4 linked regions of the Drosophila melanogaster genome follow. The protein of the gene in region 3 interacts with the protein of the main gene of each other region in a pairwise test. Each region holds a gene or a part of one and is shown on either strand. Other genes may lie near its edges.

Region 1 (6,426 bases), on a different chromosome or scaffold from region 3:
AGACTTCTTTTTAGTTTACATATATTAATTCTCCATATGACGCTTCTCAAGCTTAATATATTTGAGTGAATTTTAAATGAATGTTTTCCACTTATGAACACGCTAGTTACACACAAGGTGTTAGGATTGAATCACCTCCTCGCAGAGCCAATACCAAGTGAAGAACGGATCCACCTTGCACTTTGTAGTCCGCCGCGGTTTTATCGTCATTCCTGGGGGGGATCGCATGCGAAATAAGCTAAAATCAATGACCAATAGCCAGAAAGACTCACATTTGCTTGCCGGAGAAAATAAGACGCTGTTGCTGGGGCGGAATGCCTTCCTTTTCCTCCACGCGCTCCTTGATGCGATCTACCTTGTCCGTGGGCTCAATGTCGATCTCGATTTCCTTGCCGGTCAGGGTCTAATGGAAAGATAATACATATTTACATTAATAATCCAGCCACACATATATTGACTGTAATATTCGACGATTTTGTTGTTGTTCAAAGTGCCCGCTGGGCACGATGGCTGTGATTTATCTTTATCCTACTTTTTTGCTACTCCATATCTTCCACACTAACCTTCACTTTGATCAACATTTTGTGTGTATTTAACTAGGCGCTCCTGTACAAATTCAAAATTGCCGAAATTTTTGCAAATCTCCACAGCTGGTTCTCTTTTTTGGCTGTCACTTTCGGCGTTGGTACGACTGGCAACTATCGATAGTACTGTCGATGACCATCGATTGTTTTCCACACTATTACAAATATAGTATTTTCTCCATCATTCCATCTCTACACAATTCACGTGTAAAAAAATACATTTCGAAAAAGGAGAACTTAATTTATGTAAATTTTTTGTAGCTTGATTTATAGTGTGCCCATTACGGTTAGAAGTCTCACATATTTAGAATTCAAATTCTCCTTAAATTATTTTACTCATGAGATGCAAAAATCCATTGAATGCCATTACTACATTTTTTAACTTTTGAAAAAAATGGAAGGCGTCACTTTTGAGGGATTTGAATTAAGAGCAATTTGTTTATTAATGTTTTATCTCGGATCTTAGAAAATTAAAAAGTATTTTTTTGTCTTTTGTCTTTTCTGTTTTATTAAAATAAGTTGTATGCCTTAATAACTAAATACATTTATTTACAGTACTAAATGGATAACTACTTTGTTCTTTTCGAAGGTACTGAGATCCCCAGCTTAGAAGTTCATCCCTATGAGAGCTTCTTCAGTTTGTTCCAGTCGCGAATGGCCTCCCCGATGTGGCGTATATCCCTCGCATAAGTGCGACAGCATCCCCCAATGACCTTGGCCCCCAGTTGCGCCCACTCCGGAACGTAGTTCGCCAAGGGCACACAGTGCTCCCTTCCCTGCCAGCCGTTGACCACGTCGTATACCTCTCCGCTATTGGGGTACACCACCAACGGTATCTGCTCACCCACTTCGCGGTCACCATTCAAACTCTTAAAGAGCGGGGTCACAAACTTCGGATGCACACAATTTACTCCGATGGCCAGGCACTTATCCTGGGCATTTCGTTCAGCCAAGAGGTCCCAAATAGCATTCGCCGCGTCCGCAAAGGTTTCTCCATGCGCCAGGGTATTCTCATCCTTGCACTGGAAGGCCACCCAGAACTTCACATCCGGATAATCATCGCACAGCATCTCCACCAGGGCCTCCGCCTCCATTTGACAGGGAATCGTCTCGATGGCCAGCGCATCCACACCAGCCTCCAAGCACGCTTCGATCCTCACGCGATGCCAGTCCGTAATCTCCTTGGCCGGCACAAAGTCGGCATAGCTACCGGTGTACTCGGAGCCATCGTGCAGGTGGGCCCCAAAGGGTCCAATGGAGGCAATGATCAAAGGGTATCCTTTAAAAACAATAAATTGGAATATATAATTGGTAAATATTACTATATATAAAATAAAGTATTAAAGAAAGTATTAAAAGTAATGACCCTACCACATCATTCACTTGACCACAATCTAAATTAATCCCGCCCGAGCTGGACCTCATGGATGTCAACTTACCCTCCTGCACCGACAGCTGCGCCTGATAGCACTCGGTGAGATAGCGTTCCTTGGCGATGTGGGCCAGGCGGACCGTGTTCTTTATCAGCTCGATGCTCTGCTCCTCGTCCAGCTCCAGGTACTCCATGTAACCATCGACACTGGACTGGTAGGTGTTGGTCAAAATGATATCGGCACCATCTGGTGTTGTCAAGGGGAAAATTCAGTTAGTATGTTGCCAATTGCTACCGGAAAACAATTGCTTACTCTGCAAAAAGTCCAGGTGGGTGCTGATAATGGCCGCCGGATTGGTGGCATTGAAGCGGGCACTCCATAGCGGATCCCCATCCACAGAGTCACCCACATGGACGGTCATCTGGGTGCCGAAACCGCCATCCTTCACCAGCACGCGCGTCAAACCCATGATTGAAAGATTACTAAGAGGGGTGGAGGATGATCCGTTGAAAATTGATTATTAGTTACATTTCTACGTCAGCGGGCTGCGAGATAATTAAATATGTATATTGCGTCTGCCACCTGGATTCCACTGCACTCAGGGCGATGTTATACAATGTATCGGAAGAACTAATCTCTATTTTTCAGTTCAACGAACTTGGCAGAACAAAAGACCAGTGGCTTAATCTAAAAAACACACTGAGAAAAACAGCTCAAAGTTCTTTAGCTAAGATATATGTTATATGAGTCTTATGATTTATTATAAAAAAGATTTAATTCTAGGAGTATTCAGCTTTCACTGAATAGTATACAAATTTAAAACCAAGGTCACATTTTTACGTATCTCAATAAATGGCGAGTTAAAAGCCTGAAACATTTTATTCTGTATACGCTAAATTCAAAATATACATCAGCTCTTTAAAATTTGGCAACAATTTTTGAGAAATATATATCTTTTAAAGTGAATCATTTATTACGTTTCAAGATCTATTCTTGTTCCAAATTAAAAAATATATTAATATTTAATATATGTAAGTATTCCAAGCATAACATTTTTAGATTGCTTATAAGATCCCTTTGTTGCACTTTTAAGCATACTCCTTGGATAGTGTATACACCGTCTGTCATCAAAATCTATCGGTAGGGAAGCGAAAAACACACGATAAGGTCTCGCACTCACCTTGACAGCTTGTTTATGGATCTTGTAAATGGGCAAATTCAATAACAACTTTATTAGACACTAGACTGGCTGGTTGGTTATCAAGTGGTTATCACAAATCTTTCGGAACGGTGGATATGATCAGTCGCAATGGACGCTCGACGAACGTTTAAATGTTTCACGTATCGTCGAGGGGCTTTTATACTTTCCGAAGGGCCACTCAGCTGTGCGGCTCGGCTTATCAGGGCGAAATTTATAATATTTATAATAATTTATAACAAAACAAAACGGCAAACACAAACATGAGAGTGCCCCCACCAAGTGGGTGATAAGCCCGGTGCACAGCTGCCAGACGCTGGCCAGCCAGATTGGATTGTCCGGGTGGACTGCGACTCCCCCTCCACGAGGCTGATGAAGCTGATGAAATCGTCAAAGCGCCGCTGTGCGTGGTTCTGGCTTCCGAGTGACTCTGCTCGGGATGTCGCATCTGCTAAGTCGACGCCGATAACCTCTGGACGCCGCCTAGGACCAACACTTCAAGATGTACTTGGTTGTTGACTCTGTCCTCCTTAAAGGAAAATGGGTGAGCTTCCGACCGCACTCAATAGATTATGGTCCAAAAATAGGTCTACTGATGTCAAAGAGAAAAACAACATTTAACCCCTATTCTGGTAAACAAATCGCTAATGAACAGGAAATAAGACATAAGATATATCAAATAAAATCTCCTCTAAAAGAGATGAGCTTAAAGTGATGATTGTTATTAATATTTGGACAAAAAAAAAATAAATAAATAAATAAATAAATAAAGTAAAATGTAAAGTAAGAGATTGACCGACAAAAGGCTTTCAATTTGAAAATGGCCGTTAAAATCATGTTTTTTGAACGAAGTATCCGATTAGGCTGATTGCCAGATTGGGTCAGAGTGCAATAGGTGGACATGTGGCTCCACCATCCTCAAAAGCTTCAACAGCCAAAAATGTAAGTACTCTTTTAAAAATGCGGTATGAAGTTCCAAAAAATTTTGAAATATCTTTCATAGTGATAAAGTCGAGAACCGCAAGAATAGAAGGGCATACCCTTCTCTATAAAGTACCTTGCGTACCAGAAGGCGTTTGCCTTGGTACATATGTAAGAAGTGATTAGATTTGATGAATCTCTAATGAAGATATTATTTTAATACTGTACTAAAAATATGATATATTGAAGATAACTAAAACAACTATTTTTGATATTTTTGTAGTTTATTGCTTTACATCAGTACATACATACACACTTTTAACAATATTAATTTTAAAGAATTTAAATCCGGCTATAAAGAATAGAAAGCTAAGAACACAGCAAGTTTTTCAAAGGACAAATGCACGTTTTTGTGTTATAATTGAATAGAAAATTGTTTTGATTTGGACTCAAAAATTGAGCTAGGTTGGCAAAAACAGTCGTTGGGCGAACGTCTGCCCATATCCCCAGCCCACTTGTTTACCTTTGGTCCGCCCGCCTAATCTGTGTTTGTCTCCCAGCCAGCCGTCCACGCTTTTTTCCACACTCTGCTGATTAGGAAGCCATCTGATCTGGGTACATCTAGTACTCGCGTATATGTATTTAGCAAACTAAATAGGTCTAGGTCTAGTCACACGAAACAGCTTTCGCATTAGCGACAAGGCTGCTATCAGTGACCGGAGTTCTCTCCCGATTACGGCTTTATGTTGAGGCCATCGACGTACTTGCGGATCGCCAACACGTCCGTCGGATAGACCCGGCAACAGCCGCCAACGATGCGCACTCCCAGCTGGATCCACTCGGGCACAAACTTGACCACCTCCTCGCCGGTTCCAGTCCAATCTCCCTGCTCGACGTCGTAGATCTCGCCGCGATTGCTGTAGACCACCAGTGGGATGCGATCCGAACCGGCCACTTTGGTAAGCGATGATAGCAAAGGGGTCACGAATAGTGGGTTTACACAGTTCAGACCGATCCCAAGGAGCCGGTTCTCAGCCTTCCGACTTTGGACCAACCGCCAGAGGGAGAGAGCCGCCTCCGCGAAGTTTTCTCCACTAGCCATGTGCTTTTCATCCTGAAAATATCGGAACATAAAGTGGATTTTTAAATGTAATTGAACGATATATTTTTTACCCTTGTTTTGTATAAAGAATGTTATTGTTTTTTGCGATATTACTCACCATGCACTGCAGGGAGACCCAGAATTTGGCATCCGGAAAGTTGTCCAGTACTAATTCGGTGACTGCCTCTGCCTCCATCAGACATGGAAGTGTTTCCAGGGCCAATCCATCCACTCCAGCTGCGAGACAAATCTCAATTCTTGTCTTGTGCCACGCCCTCAGCTCCTCCTTGGACATCTTGTCCGCATAGTTGCCGGTGTACTCAGATCCATCGTGGAGATAGGCGCCATATGGACCTATTGAGCCCATGATCAGTGGAAGAGCCGACTCCGCTTCAGAACCGATTTCGCTAAGGTACTGTTCCTTTGCCTGCTTGGCCAGTTGAACGCTCTTTTGGATCAACTCCACACCTCGTTCTCTGGTCACGCCCAGGTACTTCACGAATCCCTCGACGCTGGACTGATACGTGTTGGTTAGAATAATATCCGCTCCGTTGCGAAGAAAGTCCAGATGTGTTTGGATCACAGCTTCCGGATTGGTGGCATCGAATCGCGATCCCCACAGTGGATCACCGTCCACTTTTTCGGTGACATTCTTGGCCAATTGCGAGGAGAATCCTCCGCATTTGACCAGAATTGGCTTGGTGTCCCAGTTCCATTTTTGATTCACTTCCATGTCTTCACTGCTGTACGTTTTCCGTTAAACTGCAAATTTCTGGAAGCGTACAATGCGATACGACAAAATTTCGTATCTGACAGATACGTGATATTGTAAGTATTGCCGACTTGGAATTTTTGTTATTTTTGTCGGATTTTTTCGCTTGGGCTGGCAACTTTTTCCGCTTATCTTGTATGAGTTTCCACAACGCAAAAACCTACACATACCCTAACACATCTCAGCTGTTCTTTGTTTACGAGTGCAGTGAGCACTCGATAAGTTGGAATTCTAAGAAATGTGTCTTGAATTTTGTAGCTAGCTACATAGCTACATATAATATAATAAAATAATAATATAGTTATCTAATAAAGAATCAAAGATGTTTCGAAACAAGTAGGAATCAAGTTATGTTCAGTTCCTACTGTAAAAATGTAAAAATTCAATGGCATTTAATGTCACAAAGGTACTAAAATAGCAACAAGCGGTTGACGAGAAGAAAAACTTGTATGAGGTACTTAACCGCAACATTATAT
Region 2 (6,576 bases), on a different chromosome or scaffold from region 3:
CAATGGATAAGTGGATGTTTAGTTGTTTTTAACATAAAATTGGTATTAATATTAATAAATTAATCAATTTTTGTCTATTTTGTATCAATCTTATTAAAATCGATGACTTTTCCGAGCTACGTATACGCAATATTTGTTCTATTTTTATAGAAAATTACTACTACCATTATTTTGAACACAGTTTCATACACATGTGGTGGGTGGTGGTGGTGGGGATACACACAGCTTTTATATACACAATTTGCCAATTTTTCGCTAGGTTTTTTTTTTCGGGAGGGGGTATGAACTATGAACTCGCTGCTTGAGTGGGTGTGGGGTGAACAGTGGGTGGGTGGGGTTTGCTCTCGGGTTCCATTAGTAAATTTTGTACAATTATCGGATATTGATTTTGTGATCGTATACTTTTAATTCTAAATTCAATTTTGGTTTTTATAGACACACAACAACACATTGAAAACAAAAACCAAAAGAAATAACAAAAATGTACACAAAACAGAATAAAAAATAAAAACTAAAGATAAATTAATAAACAAATAAAATTATTTACAGACGAGTACACAAAACAAAAATGTTGGGTTGGTTTCGGGTTTCTGGGTGTTTTTTTTTTTTCAAATCTTTTTTGGGGAATACATATTTCTACCAATTTTAAAAAAAGGGTGGTTTTTTATATTGCAGACATTGACAAAATACAACACATATAGAAAATTTGGAATACAAAATGGTGGGCAAGGTTCGGTTTCGAAAAAAATCAAAAAATTTGTTATAGTTAGGGCAAAAACAAAAAAAAAAAAAAGATAGACATAAGTGAACACCAATCGAGTTCTTTAGGCTGCTGCACCAAAACCAACAAAAGATGTCGACAAAAATCGGCAACAAAAATGTACTTACGTCTCCTCGCGGGTTTCCTCGACAACCTCCTCCTCCTCGGAGCTGCTTTCGAGTTCGTAATTAAACGAATTTTGGTTTTTTTTTATATTTTTTGGTTTAAGATTTTTGAATAAGGTGTTTTTTTTTATATATATATTTTGGAGTGAAAGTGCAGGGTTACACACGGCACACGGGTGCAGAGGTGATATTGTTGATTTGTTGTTGAATTGTCGTGTGGTTGTTGTTGAATAGTTGTTGATTGTTATTAGTTGTTGATTTCAAAAGAAACGAAACGACAACATTAGCGGTTGTTCGAACAGATTCATGGGTTGTGGTTGTGGAGGTTTTTGGGATCGTGGTCGGTTTTTCGGTTCGGGTTCAGGGATGACAATGCGTGGAAATAGATAGAAAGGAGTACAGATCAAAATAGGTGCCACTGGTAAATGTGATTACAAAAAGTTCTCTTACAAGAATCCACAAAAATCTGATCGTTGAATTAGTTAGTACGTATAACAACAAGGGTTCAAACGAGACCATCGAATACTTCTCTTCAACTTTGCTACTTTACTTAAGTTATCTGTTTACTTTACACACTTTTAAATCTTGTTCGCGGTCATACGCGTCGTATACTTAATATTTGCATCTTGTCCTACATATTCCATGGGTTCTACTTACGTGTACTCTTCATCGTCGGACATGGCTACGGTTTAGGGTTGAAAAAACCTGCAATAACAATATATAGAAAATAAAAAGTTTAGTTTAGTCTTCAAATGCATATATTTAAGATTAAATTAGGAAGCCATTGTAATAGAATAGGAAAGACACCAAAAACGTGAATGTGTTCCATTATTATATTTCTTTTTGAATTCAATTGATATTAAAAATAATGCTTATTAAATATAACCCCTTTTTTAGCCAAAGCAGCAACAACAATAGAACAGCGAAATACAGGTGTGCAAACAAGTCAACAAATGATTGCCCTTTTTGATAACCCCTTGTCTATTTTCTATTCAGGGTTTCACTGTACTTGAAGCAGCCTTTGATCGCCCTGCGATAACTCTATATTTAGACGGATCTTTCCCCCTATATATATGTATATAATATATATGTATATGCGATTCCGCTGTGTATATGTAGGCAGGGCGACCTGTCTTTTTATAGCCGGCAACAATGTCTCGTCCTCACATCATAATCTTTCAAATTCAAGAAGAAAAAAATAAACGATAAATTCCGTACGCTCTGCTCTAAAATTATTTAATTTCCCATGCTATCTATATCCACAATCTATAACTGTGTGTGTGCGAAGGAGAGAGTCGTAGTCCAATCTATGTATGTGTGTTTTTTCATTTTCCTCCGATTTTTTCTCAATTAAAAATAGACTTTGGGGCAGTATTGAATTTCCCGAGAGCCGAAAGCTTCCGAAAACATCAAAAAGCTTCGGACAAAGCCTTTTTTGAAAATTTTCGTTTTTTTTTTTACCTTGGCACTAAATCGGAAAATCTAAAGAAGCTTTTCAATTTATATATGTATATGTATTGATATATATTTGGGCGTACTTGTGTGTAATGAAAAGAAAATCAAATCAAATGCCATTCATAGATCGCCTGTATATATCTATGCCAGTTATTATGCCACGAATTTATATATTTAATATGCTATTTGAAATTTCTATGATTATGAATATTCTATTTCTATAATCTTTGCACTTTTGCGTGGAAGTGCAATTGCTGAGCTTGTATTTTTAGCCTTAGATAAACTGGGTCAGTTTTGGGGCAAGTGCTTGGAAATGATGTGAAATGTATTGAGAAAAGTTCTGGAAAAATTGAACAAACTTTTCAATTGAAACTGGTAATGATCTAAATATCATCCGACAGACTATCAGAAATATACGTCTATCGTCTTTTCACACTTACATATACAAAAATGTTACTGATCATACATGTTAGTTTCAAAAACATGGTTTTGAATCTTACTTTTTGTCTTTTCAAGTTCAAAGTTTGAGTAAGTGTTAGCTACTTCCTGCCTAGCAACATAAAACTGTCATATGCTGTTTTTATATCCTGTCATTATATCCTTATCGAATTTACTCTACAAATTTCCCTTTCTTTAATTCAATCTATCTGTGCCCTGTTTCCATTTATAGTCCTATATATATCCTCCAAAAATCTCCAGATCTCTATTCGCCATCGATCTTGTGTGGGTGGCTATAGTTCCGTCTCGTTTTCGCCTACTATATCTTTAACATATCTGATCGGCGCCTGCGCGGAAAGCTATTGAAAAAAGTTTTCACTCTACGTATCTGTGTGTGTGTGTTTCTCTGTGTGTGTGTGTGTGTGTATCTTGGACATTTTGCCAAGGTAAAAACACACTCGCTCGCGCACACATACGAATCGAATTTATTTTTAAAATTCGTCGAAAAAAATTTGAGAACTTTTCCTCTCAGATCATATAACACTTTCAGAAAGCAAAAAGATATACATATATGTATATGTATATTTATATGTATAGATTCCTGTCTGGCATTGTTGTTGCTTTTGATTTTGTTGTTGTTGTTGCTGCTGCGGCTAATCCTGTTGTTGTAGTTGCCGTTGAATATTGTTTTTGGCGCCGCCAATGCCTGGGCGAATTTTTTCAAATTATTTTTAGCCTTTAGCCATAATAAAAAAAAAAAGTTTAAAAAAAAAAAATTTTTTGAAAAAGTTGGCTTCAGAGTTCGTTTTTTTGGTGGCTTTCAAGTCATTTATTCGCACTATTTGTTCGTAGATTGCACTTTAAAAAAATTTCAAAAAAAAAAATAAAATGTTATATAACACTAGGATTTTCCAATTCGTAACTTTCTTTTGTTGATGTTCGTGGTTCGTGGTTTATTCGCAAAGGATTCGGTTTTCTCGTTTTCGATAACTTTCTTTTCGTTTTTAGGCACACAAGTTTATTTTATATTTTCTTTTTATTTTTTTGGTGATGCAGCATTTGAAGGAGATGTGAAGCAGCAGTAGAGCAGAAACAGAAAAAAAAAAACTTACTTAGGGAGAAAAACAAATTGAATTGAAGTCCGAGCAGCTGACGTCGTAGGAGCGAATGCTGCGGTTCGACTAACCAAACTGACGATGAAAAGCGCTGCTACACGTTATGTTAAAGAATTTTTCGTCGCGTTCGCGGAAAAGCCATTTCCACGCACACACCGATCGCCTTTCTATATAGCCAATAGCTGGCCATGTGTGCGAGCAGGCCAGCGCTATATGCCACATATCGCTGGCCGATGTGGCAACAAGTGGGTGGTGGTGGGTGCGCCTGCCTGTGTTGGCTGTGTTCGATGTGTTTTGGGTGAATTTTTCAGGTGGGCTGCAGCTGAAACATAAACTTGTACACGCACACAGCCGCCGTCGAGTTTTCCAATTTTCCATTTTGGCCAGAGCGAGATGAGGCATACGATATTAGTATATACTATACATTAGACCATAATGGCGCACGCACATAACTAGATCATACAATAAGTATATAGCGCATACGGACGTTCGGTGCGTTGGCGGCATTTTACACATTTGTTTTTGGAATCAAATATCGTAGAGCATAAATTTCACAGCCATTAAAAAGTCGGCCTGCATATATTGCTCTATAATATATACGTACAGATGTTCGTGCCGATATATAGCACATATAGTTTGGATTCCTCAGCGGATCGTTGCAGCATTTGAACCCCAGAGTGCACGCCCTACAAAATCTCCAACCCAGTCCGCCGCGATCACCGATCACCCCCTATATATATATATATATATATATATATTTATTTACCTATATCTATATCGCGATCGAACTGCTGACGTCGAACGGCCTTAGGTGGCCCCATCGCATTGCCATTTGTCTAACACTTGAATCTATTCGTCATTGTTCCGATTTTCTTTTTTTATTTCTCTCCTTTTTCTATGCTATTTTTTTTATTTTACTTTCTAACAGATACTTTTGGCAAATAGTTTCAGATACACTTACGCGCCTTGCAGCACTTTAAGCTATCGAATTTAATTCATTCTTTATTGGGTTATTTTTTCGAAGCATACAAAATCAATTTGAAGAATTTGACAAAATCTCTTTTTCCTATATGTAAATTTTGCCAAAAAAATTAATTTTTTCATATCGTTTAATAAACATCATAACACATAAGAAATATTTGTATTAAGTAAGGGTAGTGAAACATATTTTGTTCTGTATTTAATTTTGTTTCTGTATTCTAGTATTAATAAAATTAAAATAAAGCAAAAACTTACAATATTTTAAAAATGTACTTTCATCAACATCGATTTCCGTTGTTTTTTTTTTTGCCAAATTTTTCATAAAATTAGATATAAATTCTAGAAGAATATAAAAAAAAAAAAAAATTTTTAGTTTTTCGCTTGCACTTGTATCTTCTTAAATTATTAATACTGCAAAAAAAAATATTTGGGCTATCTCAAAGTTCCTCAAAATCTGGGTAAAAATTTTTATACATACATGATTACATTATATATGATTACATTACATTATATTATGATTACATTACATTATATATGATTATAGAAAAATTAATTTAAGACTTCTCTTAATTCCTTGCATAAACAAGTTGTTCAAATAAATAGACTTCTGTGTAAATTAAAAACATGCGATGAATATTATTTTAAAATTATATATATTACAATATTCTCCAATAGTAAAATTACTATATAGTCGCAAAGTTTCGGCATTTGTTTTGATTTCGTTTTTGGTTACCAAGTATCTTAAATTTAGAACATTTTTGTATCTGCACCTCTGCGAAATGCAAAATGCACACACCAGATACGCAGATAGATAGATATGTATGCATAGATAATTAGATATGTATGTGTATGTGATATGTATGGGTCTAGGTATTATGCATGGCTTGCCAAAAACCACAAAACTACAGAATCGCAATGGGACACAGGTGGGCAGTTCGAGTTATCTGGGATTTAGTGCATGAAATGGTACGGGCGTGTTCTGTCCAGATATAAACGACATCTGTAAGCGCTTTTTTAGCTGCTTCCAATTTTTGCCTGCCATCTGGCTGGATTCACATAACATCCTCCGTTCAATAAACAACTACGAACCTATTGCAAACATCGGGCCAAATAGCTCAGTGATCCGTAGACCAGAAGTACGGACATGTGCAGATATATACATATGTGGGCGTGAAAGTGGGTGGAAAGTCGGGTATGCCGTATGCCGTATTCAAGTAAATTTCAATTCGCATCATCTTCTGAATGTCCGAATATCAGAATGTTAGAAAGGCAAGTCAGAATATTCGAAAATCAGGGAATAACAAATAGCACAGTTTCGAATTTTTGTTGTTCTATTTTTGGACGTTTTGTGTGGGCGCTATTCGTCTGTAGCCTTCGGTTTTTAGTGCCGATCGTATGCACGAAGATGCCCGATATAAAAAATATATATATATATATATATATATTAAAGTATGTATATGTATTTGTTTAAATATCTTCTATATGTCTATCTATAGGTTAGCTTTCTGGGGCGATGTTTACGGGGAACTGTGGCTAATATCTGCATAGATCAGGAATAACATAAACATTATCCAAGATCTGGAAAAATATTTGATTTCAGACAAGAACGATGGCCCTGGGATTATATGAATGAACAGCGTATCCAAAGTGTCGAATAATTTGAATTGATTGCAATCGGTGCAATCTTAAATAATAAGCTATT
Region 3 (5,517 bases):
CGACGACGATCCGCCGATGTCGCGTCTCTTCATCATTTGCAACAAGGCGCACACCGAGGAGGATTTCCGTGAAGCCTTCTCGCCATACGGCGAAATCGAGGATATCTGGGTGGTGAAGGACAAGCACACCCAGGAGAACAAGGGAATCGCGTACGTCAAGTTCTCCAAGACATCCGATGCTGCCAAGGCACAGGAGGAGATGAACGGCAAGACCATTGGCAAGATGGATCGCACCCTTAAAGTCCTGGTGGCAGCCAAGTAAGATTAGCTTCGAGAGTACTGGCCCAAAACCATGGTCTAACTCTTATCCTCCTCTTCCAGTCGCAATCAGGGCTCAAATAAGTCTGAGAACGAGCAGGAGAAGTACGTGAGACTCTTCATAGTGATCCCCAAAACAGCCACCGAGGAGGATATTCGCGAGGAATTCTCGCAGTGGGGCGATGTGGAATCTGTCACAATTGTCAAGGAGAAGAACAATGGCAATCCCAAGGGCTTCGGATATGTCCGCTTTACCAAGTGCGTGGCGAATGTAGCATTGCTAATTGTCCTAGCCATAACTAATCTAATCTCAATGCACAGGTTTTACTATGCAGCTGTGGCTTTCGAAAACTGCTCCGCCAAGTATAAAGCTGTCTTTGCCGAGCCAAAGGGTTCTACACGCACACAGCGTGACCAGTACGGCCGTCCCTCCGAGGACAATCCCTTGTATAGCAGCTCGGGACGTGGCAATTCCAATTTCAATGGAGGCGGTAGCAGCAGCGGTGGCGGCGGCAGCAACAGCTACAACAACGACTGGAATGTATCGCAGAACAACGACATGGCGGCCTTCCTGCGCATGCAGAATGTGCCAGTGGCCCAGCCATCCTGTCTGGAGGTTAACGTGAGCAACTGCGTCAACCAGGATCAGCTCTGGCGTCTCTTCGACATAATTCCCGGCTTGGATTACTGCCAAATCATGCGCGAACGTAAGTGACCAACCCAGTGTGGGTTTCAAACCCCTTTTGAACTACTTATATCTCCGTTGTAGATGGACCGCGCACCAATGAGGCCTTAGTGGTGTACGACAACCCAGAAGCCGCCATTTATGCCAAGTAAACAAAGCCCTAAAACTCATTTTCATGCAGGCTTTAAAACACTATTCTTCTTTAGGGACAAACTTCATGGCCTGGAGTACCCAATGGGCGAACGCATCATTGTCAAAGTCAATGGAATGAGCTCAGCTCGCATGGACACATCCTTCATAGACAGTACGCGAGTTAAACCTATCAAGGGCTACAGGCCGCGCCATCACCTGTAGCCATTTATTAAACGCTTTTGCTTGGTTTATTTCTTAGCACATTTTTGGCTTAAAATGCATGATATTTCCTATTTCTAGACTTAATGTGGTTTTTTATTTTAGAGCGAACCAAAAAGGATGCCATCTGCAATGTTCCCTTGCCCCCAACTCAGCCACTGGCATCGCCGGACGACCAGGTGGCCCAACGACTGTTCATTGTGCTCTCAGCGGTAGGTATCACTGTACCGTGTCCAATTACCATTAGCTATAAACGTTGTTTCTTTCCCATCTACTCAGAACTTGCCGCATTCGATATTGAAGAACATATTCTCTTGCTGGTCGGGACTGATCGACGTCTACCTTCTGCCCAACAAGAACTGTGGCTACGTCAAGTATGCGGAGGTTGAGAGTGCTCAATTGGCCATTCGTACCCTAAACGGAGCCGAAATTTGCGGCACCAAAATCAAGGTTTGTACCGTGTACTCATGTTCTGTTGCTGACAAGCAAGCAATTCTAATCAATTTTAAATTTTTATCTTACTTTAGGTCATGGAGGCTGAGGAGCGAAGTGGCTCCGACGGCGATGATGGCGGTCGCAAGCGATTGAGACGGAACTGAGTGTAAGTAGCTAGTTGAGTATGCATAAATTCCGTATCTATTAATGTAGCCATAATTGAACTGAGTGTGTGCCGTGGTACGAGGTAAGTAGCTGTGCAAATTCCAAACCGAAAACCTTTTAGCGATTTAAGACAATGTGCGCCTGCTGCACTTGCCCTGTGCACCGGTTGGCCATCGATGTCCACGATACCCATGCCGCCCACTGAGCGCGAACATAATAAGCCAAACCATTTTTATCTTTCTATCTCCACAGACCCACTGACAACCAAGAACTTACAGAGAACGCAATGTACGAAAACGTAACTAACTTGAGCATACAGTCCGATAAAAACAGTTGAACTGACCACCAACCACCAAACAACGCAACAACCAACCAATAACCAAACAAGAACCACCACCACAACAACACTCTCCGTACGGAATGCCACATGAACCAGAACCACGGGGACTGGAGAACGCAGACTGGAAACGGAAACTGCGAACGAAGACCATACCCGGGTGAACAAACCAAACAGGCCAACGAAATCACCACACCCGTTGACTACTCTCTACCAATTGACTAACTCAAGTGGGTCTCGTACAGAGCACTCGTAGAAAGACCCATAACCCATACGACCTTTAAACGGAGCCAACGAAACCGCAATGCTCTTGCTATATACACAATATATGCATAGTGTCGTATATATGTGTACTCATACCGCTTAGGGGACTTTTGAATCTACCCGTGATACAGAAACGAACTCTCTGTGTAACTTGAACTCTTACAAACTTATTCCGACGAGATTCAGCCAAGCAATAAATTCAAACGCAATGAATTTCTTAAGAGTATCAACTCTGTCTCGTAAATTCACGCTAAGCCACAGCGTGAAAAATTATTCTTTTCATATATTAGATTTAAATAAACGATATTCTACTGTATAAGGCCAACAATAAATACACTTAAATGGAATAATGTTTTTTTTTTCTTTGGAAGCGAAATGGGAAACAAATTAATTCTCGCTATGCAGATTTTCCATATATATATAATAAATTTTTTTTTAAAAGCGAATGGACTTTTTGAAAGGTCGTTAAATGAACCAGTTCCGAAATGTACAACTTCAGTGTCGCAGCCCTGGTAAGTTCCGGTTCCACGGACAGCTGAGCAGGCATTGTTTAGATTTTGTAAATTGTTGATTTCTCGCAGCAGAAAGTTTTTTTTCGTAGAGCTAAATAATAAAAAAAAACATTCGAAATGGATCCAGCACTGCTTCGCGAACGCGAGGCCTTCAAAAAGCGGGCGATGGCCACGCCCACGTGAGTACCGCACTTGTGGCCCCTCTGATAAAGATTGCTTCTCGAAAATTACATGCTATCCTTTTAAAATAGCGTGGAAAAGAAGTCCAAGCCCGATAGACCAGCTCCACCGCCGCCTAGCGATGATTCCAGGCGCAAAATGCGCCCGCCCAATGCTCCCAGGCTGGATGCCACAACGTAAGTTCCTTGAGAGCCTCTGCTACTGCCAGAAATGGTTCTTAACCATGTGGAACTCTTGCATTCCATACTTAGATACAAGACCATGTCCGGCAGTTCCCAGTACCGCTTTGGAGTGCTGGCCAAGATTGTGAAATTCATGCGCACACGTCACCAGGACGGCGACGACCATCCCCTGACCATCGATGAGATTCTGGACGAGACCAACCAGCTGGACATTGGGCAATCCGTTAAGAATGTTAGCTACAGTGCGTGATAAGTTGTGGCAGGTTATTAAACCATTATTCCTCTATTTTAGTGGCTTGCTAGCGAGGCTCTGCACAACAATCCCAAGGTGGAAGCCAGTCCATGTGGCACCAAGTTCAGTTTCAAGCCAGTCTACAAGATCAAGGATGGCAAAACGCTGATGCGTCTGCTCAAGCAACATGATTTAAAGGGCCTGGGCGGCATTTTGCTGGACGATGTCCAGGAATCTCTACCACACTGCGAAAAGGTGCTGAAGAACCGATCAGCCGAAATACTTTTTGTTGTTAGACCCATTGACAAAAAGAAGATTTTATTTTACAATGACAGGACTGCTAATTTTTCGGTGGGTTATAAACACACTCTTCTAAAATCCCAGCCTAATCAATTGTACCGTCTCAGGTGGACGACGAGTTCCAGAAGCTATGGCGCTCGGCTACGGTCGATGCAATGGACGACGCCAAGATTGACGAGTACCTCGAGAAGCAGGGCATTCGCTCCATGCAGGACCATGGCCTCAAGAAAGCAATTCCCAAGCGCAAGAAGGCGGCCAACAAGAAGCGGCAGTTCAAGAAGCCCAGAGACAACGAACATTTGGCCGACGTTCTGGAGGTCTACGAGGATAACACACTAACGCTGAAGGGTGTGAACCCAACGTAGAATAGAGACATTAGATTATACAAATAAAAACCACTCTCAATGGAATTAAGTACACTCGAAACTGGATGTTATAAATTTGTTTAACCACTGCCAATCTAATTAAGAATCCGCTGTGGCCGAAATCTCATTCCTCAAGATTTATAGTACCAGATTGCTGTTCTGCCTGTGGCATTGAACTTAAAAATATGACGACCGGCACAGGGAAAGATAATTAAAAAGCAAAACTATGTAATCTTTTCCTGACATTCCCCATTGCTTTCCACACCTGATGGCTGGTGGTGTGCGTGTACGAGGGCCAGAATCGATGCTGGTGGGCAGTTAAATTGGCAACAGAGGGAAGCCGTAGCTTTAGTCTGCACTGAACAGCAGCCAAGTTCAGTTGGAATCGATTTGGAATAACCTATATTTTGGTACGGCGGTTGTGCGGGCTTATCAGGAAAATTATCTATATATTGGACTCTACAAATCTAAAAAAAGATTGTGTTGCTATTTGTAATCTATTAAGATTATAACAAGAGATCCGATATTCAGTATAGACAAAAATATAGCTCATACGACTCGTAAATCAGTCATATTGCAAACTATCGTTCGTCCTCTAACTTGTTCAATTTAAAAGATAGGGTATTCATAAGTGGACTTGCATGAAATCCGATTCTTTGTTTACTTGGCTTGACTCTTTGGCACGGACAATGAGCTCTCTACTCGGCGGCAAAAACTTGTTTTGAAATACTCAATTTGTTTAATTATCATTCCCGAAGCATTCGCCAGTTGGTTTTGAGAGTTTCTGTGCTGAGGTTGACGAAATGAAGTCGACGCGGACTGCACTTGGAGTGGCCCTGCTCCTGGCCCTGGTGTCTCAACTGGCGGCCCACAGCTCGGAGTGAGTAAATCAAACCTCGTATGCTATATAGATTAGGTCACTGACTTTCTCTTTGACTTGATTCCCGCATCCAGTGACTTGGTTTACGGCTACGAGTGCCGCAGTGGCTACTGCCAGAAGGTAGAGCTCAGCGAGGAGAACTACGTCAAGGCCATCAGTCTGCCCGTGTGCCGGCTCTTCTGCGGCAGCTCCATCGGCACCTTGTGGCCCAAACCGACGGGCACTGTGCGTCTGGACACGTTGATGCGCCAAGTGGACATCTCCTTCATTGATTTCAATTTCAATGGAATTGCCCGCCAGCAGAAGCTATGGCGAGCGGTTGAAGACCGTTTCATGAACATGCTCGAAGCCCAGATTCCGGATCGCAAGGT
Region 4 (5,281 bases), on a different chromosome or scaffold from region 3:
TAGTAACTTAAGCTGTTATATTACTTTAAACAAATTGAGGACTTTGATTCTTTAGAAGAAATTATACGATTGTAAATGTTTATTATTTTATGCTATTATATTACATTAAACAACTTGAGGACTTTGATTCTTTAGAAGAAATGATAAGGTAATAAATGCTTATTATTTCACTACCTTATGCTGTTATATTACTTTAAACAAATTGAGGACTTTGATTCTTTAGAAGAAATTATACGATTGTAAATGTTTATTATTTTATGCTATTATATTACATTAAACAACTTGAGGACTTTGATTCTTTAGAAGAAATGATAAGGTAATAAATGCTTATTATTTCACTACCTTATGCTGTTATATTACTTTAAACAAATTGAGGACTTTGAAGACATGTTTAAATAAAAATTGGTATACGTGAACTGCGAATAGCGAAATGCAAGAGCCACACGCATGTATCCGAAACTAAAGTCAGCATTTCGCAAAACAAATCAACTTTATTTGAAGGCTACCATTGAAAAATCTAGACTTCTTTACTCTTCAGCTTATTTTCAAGCACGTACTTAAGTTTAACTTTCAGCAACCGCACCAAACCAAGAAACAATAAAAAACGAAATTGTTTCTAAGCAAACTGTGTAAACAAAAGCACGGAGAGATGCTGTTTAGAGCGAATAAATGCCACGAGATCGAATTTTTGGCCATCCAGAACAACTGTGCAAACCAGGCACAGTGAACAACCAGTAAGAGAGACGTTTGAATTTTATCTAGTTTATTACAGTAATCGGTTTAGTCAAGTTAGTTAGGAAACACGCGAATGTGGCGTGCTTTTTTTGTGACCAGCCAGGTAGGGGTATAATTGTTCTAGGATGGTTCGTTCACGGCAGCCAGTGGACACTGTGCCGACGCGTACCGAACGTGGCCACGTTCTTGAACCGGTTTTGGCGGATCGCTCCGGCGGGGTCAACGTTTCGCCCTTTGGCGGACAACACCGGGACATTAACATAATTCATATTGATATAGTTGGTGTACAAAAAATTTCTAAATATATATATATAAATGTATCAAAATTTAGACGGTATGGGGATGCCGAGGGCGAGGAATTTGGGATCGGTTTTACAACACGCACACAACAGACTTTTAGATGGAACAATGAAACTTGAACATCGCAGAGCAGCGGCTAATCCTCAAAGGTGATGCGGCCGGGTCCGTGGTTCTTCATGTATCGCCTGTACGCCTTGTATCGTGGATTCTCCGCCAGCTTCTTTTTCATCTCCTCTTCCTGTTCTGCCTTCCAGGCGACGAAGTTCTCGCGCTTCCACAGCTTCAGATGCAGGTACTCCTCGATCAGCTTGTCCTCCTGCGCCTCGAACTGATGCTGGCCCATGCCCAGGTGCCGGCGGATGAGGTAGAGCTTCTGCTCGCGGCCATACGGCTGCTTCATTACCGTGTAGCGCCAGAACCACTGAGCGTGCCACACGATGAACGAGAGTATCGTGTAGGGGCAGATGATCAGCTGCACCCACAGCACATCCCAGAGTGTCGGCTTCGCATAGCCGCCCTTAACGTCCATCTTCTCCTCGATCACCCGCCGGATGATCCGTTCCAGCTCATCGCGCTGATCGTTCTTGGACATACGATTCTTGCCCTTCTTCTGGATCTTTTCCTGGATCTCGTCGCGAGCTATTTCCAGGGCCTGGTTCCTATACTTGGGCACCGTGGCAAAGTACTTGATGGCAGAATCGTAGCGCTGCCAGCCGGAATAGTACTGGATGACGGACACAATGGTTAGGACGACCACGATAACCACGCGCACATCCACCTTGGGCGCCACGCGTCGCCGGTAGTAGCGATAGTAATGCGCATAGTATGCATCCGGGTTGTCCAGCATGTAATCGTAGTCCGTGCGCGACTCCTCATCGCGCAGGATCTCGTAGGCGGTGGCCACCAGCTTAAACTGCGTCTCCGCCGCCGCCTTGGCCTCGGCACCCCGATGCAGATCTGGATGATAGCGCCTCGCCAGCTGGCGGTATGCTTTGCCGATCTCCGACTTGGACGACTCTCTGGTGACGCCCAGCACGTCGTAACAGTTTTCCTTGCCACAGTACAGGCCCTCTAGCAGGCCCAGGGCCATCGTGGGCAGCAGGGCCAAGAGCACCAACCGTAGTCCGTGCGTCCGCATCTTGGATAGCGCTTTCACCCTGGGGACACGTGTAGCTGCAGCTGGGGCGCACAGCTGGCACTCGTTGGCTGGGATCGGATCGGAGCGGATTGGTTGTGACTTGGATTGGTCCGCAGCAACTGGTGGCAGTGGCGGTCGCGCTGGCGCTGCTCGTCCGTCTGCTCGGCGTTTGGCACACTGAAAAGTTGGCCGCCGCTCGTTATCCAGGTTGACATTGGCCGATAACACCGATAACCGCGATAGCTCGCGGGTGGATAAGACCGTATGTTGGGGATATGGTCACTCTAAGTTAACTCATTTTACATTTTATTTTAGAGTCGCTAATTTGACGCACATTTATTTTACTTAAATTTCAGGCATAAAATCCATGCTTATACACCACGATTATTAACAGTTCGCCAAATACCGATTACACCCTCGTTAGGCTGCCTATCGAACTTATCGGTCCTAGCTGAACCTAGCTAAGCGTCAGTCTTGAACATTTGGATCCAAATATTCTGGATTTGCAATTTGCAAAGCGTCTGCATAGAATCTGGGCTTTAAAATGGACTTCAATTACCATGTGGATTCGGCACTTACCACTTTATTGGAAAACCAAAAGTTCTTCAAAGAAATGGCAGAAGGTAAGCCATGCGACACACTGAGACATCTTTAAAACCTACCCACAGTCGTGTCCGATTTCAGTGATGGCAGGGAGATCCAGAAGTTGTTGGACCAGAACGTGGATCTCGCCGAGAATCTCATCCGAATGAAGAGCAAGCACCAATTGCTCAGCAAGGCTATGAAGCATGCCAAAAACTCTAGCAACACCATCGAGAAGTTCGAGGAAGTCTGGAAGGAGCGCTCCGAAGCGGTGGAGCAGAAGCGCATCGATGTCAAGAACTCAGCCGAGTTCAAAAACTTCATGAAAGCGGCAGCTCCCCAGGCGGGTGCGGAAACAAATGGTCAAGCGAATAGCGCCGCCCATGACGAGGACCTTATCATGGAAGCCACCGGCGGCGAGGTCTTCTCGCTCTACGATCCCTGGTCCAAAGCCTTGATAAAGAACCCCGTGCGCAACAAAAAGTGCGGCCACATCTACGACCGCGACTCGGTGATGCTGATCATCACGGACAACATTGGTATTCGATGCCCAGTGCTCGGCTGTCCCAACAGGTCCTACATCCATCCAGCGCACCTGGTCAAGGACTCCAACCTACAGCAGAAGTTGCAAGAGCGCATGTCTGACGCGATCGAGAAAGAAACTTCCTCGGAGGAGGACGATGAACAGGCAGATCATTAATTATGCGCAACTTCCTTCTTGTCGACTAATAACGCAGCGTAAGATATCACGTTCTTGTAAGACAACCATTTGATGAAAATTTAAGGTACAACGAATAAACATGTTTTAAAAATAGTCCCGAAAAAATTTAGAGAAAATATATTAGAAGTGCAGTATGCACGTATGTATATAGTTTGCGATTTATTTAGAAAATTGGTACAAATGTAGAAACAAATGAATATATAGCACGATTGCCATCGAAATCATCGCCGAAACATTCTAGCGAGTCTTTGCCGCAGACGATCCACATCAGACTCATATGGCACCAATGGCACCTTGTCATTATCCGGATCGCTACTATCTTCAGAGGAGATCCAGACTGATTTACCATTGCTAAGCTTCGGCTCTGAATCCCCGCAAGCCATGGGGTCCTTCAGCATGGCTGCTTCCTCATTGTTTTTGGTTTTTTGCCGGAAAAAGCTTCCGGCATGGGTGCCTTGGTCAATGGGCCAGCTGTTGGCGACTTGCGCTGGAAATCTCTACAAATAACGAAGAATCTATCGGGAGCGGTGAACGGAATAATGAAATCGGTGAGCTCTATGAAGAATCGTAGGACTTCATTGTTTCGTTTAGAAAACCTATCAACTTGTATGCGTAAAGCATTTTCTTGAAATGGTCATCTTAAAAATGCTGTGCTTTGCAAATAGTTAAGTATTATCCGCTCGGATATGTGAATCAACTGAGGTCCTCACGCCAAATTATAAATGTGACTTGTAGACTGCAAAGTCATCGCCTTCTTTTTTGAGTTCTTGACACAAGCAAAAAGGGTTGCCATGGCGTTGTCATGCCCTTGGAGATAAAACCTCTAGACTCAAATATTCTTATTATGTTCCGCTGACATAATAAGTATTAGTGTTTTTATTTCATAATAAATTATGCAATTTACAGCATCGGAAATTGGTAGCTTCAGTATAATATTATCAAATATATTCAGTTTTATACCCGTTACTCGTGAAAGGGTATAGTAGATTTGTTAAAAAGTATGTAACTGGCAGAAGAAAGCGTTTCCGACCATATAAAGTATATATATTCTTGATCAGGAACAATAGCCGAGTCGATCTGATCATGTCCGTATGAACGCCGAAATCTGAGGAACTATAAAAGCTAGAAGGTTGAGATTAACCATACAGATTCTAGAGACATAGACGCAGCGCATGCCCATATTGCCACGCCCACTCTAATGCCCACAACCCAACAAAATAAAATAAATAAAAAACTTCCCCATGTTCAAAATTCTACCGATCCGCCATCTGCACTAACTGACCGACGCTAACTCACCTACGCTAACTTGACGCACATCACGATTATTAACGGTTCTCAAAAGAACGATTACACCCTCGATAGGCTGCCTGTCGAAATTATCGGTCCTAGCTTAACCGAAGCGTCAGTCTTGACATTTCGATCTAAATATTCTGGATTTGCAATTTGAAAAGCGTCTGAATAAAATTTATGATCAAAATGGACCCGAAATCCCACCAAAAGCTCTTCAGGGAAATGGCAGAAGGTGAGCCATGTGACAAACCGAGACATCTTTAACATCTTTAAAACACACCCACCCACAGTCGTGTCCAATTCCAGCGATGACGGGGAGAAGTTGCTAACCAAAAACTCTAGCAACACCATCGAGAAGTCCGAGGAAGTCTGCAAGGAGCGCCCCGAAGCTGTGGAGCAGATGCGCATCGATGTCAATAACTCACTTGAGGACACGAACTACATGAATGCGGTGGAATCAGAAGCTCAAAAGAATATCGCCGGCCTTGATGAGGACCTTATCATGGAAGACTTCG

Evidence for each region.
Region 1: the proteins of TfIIEbeta (region 3) and CG10621 interact in a two-hybrid assay, tested with the Drosophila melanogaster proteins (one large-scale study listed by BioGRID).
Region 2: the proteins of TfIIEbeta (region 3) and up interact in a two-hybrid assay, tested with the Drosophila melanogaster proteins (one large-scale study listed by BioGRID).
Region 4: the proteins of TfIIEbeta (region 3) and cerv interact in a two-hybrid assay, tested with the Drosophila melanogaster proteins (one large-scale study listed by BioGRID).

The regions. Positions count from the first base shown.
Region 1 is NT_033779.5:18,951,135-18,957,560, forward strand, and holds CG10621 (uncharacterized protein), read right to left. Parts: upstream 3,298-6,426; 5' UTR 3,138-3,297; intron 2,657-3,137; exon of another isoform or gene 2,440-2,656; 5' UTR 2,427-2,439; coding exon 2,270-2,426; intron 2,204-2,269; coding exon 2,024-2,203; intron 1,864-2,023; coding exon 1,205-1,863; 3' UTR 1,072-1,204; downstream 1-1,071. Other genes in the region: Nedd8 ubiquitin like modifier, read right to left, coding at 107-212, 273-403, 564-581; Bhmt (Betaine-homocysteine S-methyltransferase), read right to left, coding at 4,810-5,190, 5,297-5,911.
Region 2 is NC_004354.4:13,598,528-13,605,103, forward strand, and holds the start of up (upheld), read right to left. Parts: upstream 4,052-6,576; 5' UTR 3,891-4,051; intron 3,839-3,890; exon of another isoform or gene 3,702-3,838; intron 3,128-3,701; exon of another isoform or gene 2,841-3,127; intron 1,591-2,840; 5' UTR 1,566-1,590; coding exon 1,543-1,565; intron 1,254-1,542; exon of another isoform or gene 934-1,253; coding exon of another isoform or gene 931-933; coding exon 889-930; coding exon of another isoform or gene 885-888; intron 1-884. UniProt on the Drosophila melanogaster protein: Troponin T is the tropomyosin-binding subunit of troponin, the thin filament regulatory complex which confers calcium-sensitivity to striated muscle actomyosin ATPase activity.
Region 3 is NT_037436.4:4,284,026-4,289,542, forward strand, and holds TfIIEbeta (transcription factor IIEbeta), read left to right. Parts: upstream 1-3,012; 5' UTR 3,013-3,124; coding exon 3,125-3,186; exon of another isoform or gene 3,187-3,258; coding exon 3,259-3,363; intron 3,364-3,438; coding exon 3,439-3,601; intron 3,602-3,661; coding exon 3,662-3,952; intron 3,953-4,008; coding exon 4,009-4,266; 3' UTR 4,267-4,324; downstream 4,325-5,517. Other genes in the region: CG1316 (uncharacterized protein), read left to right, coding at 1-258, 322-516, 580-965, 1,028-1,091, 1,150-1,247, 1,400-1,506, 1,574-1,744, 1,822-1,893; Hexo1 (hexosaminidase 1), read left to right, coding at 5,070-5,146, 5,221-5,517.
Region 4 is NC_004354.4:15,575,326-15,580,606, reverse strand, and holds cerv (cervantes), read left to right. Parts: upstream 1-2,435; 5' UTR 2,436-2,717; coding exon 2,718-2,796; intron 2,797-2,841; coding exon 2,842-3,455; 3' UTR 3,456-3,621; downstream 3,622-5,281. Other genes in the region: CG7872 (uncharacterized protein), read right to left, coding at 1,172-2,173; CG42299 (uncharacterized protein), read left to right, coding at 4,944-4,998, 5,057-5,281.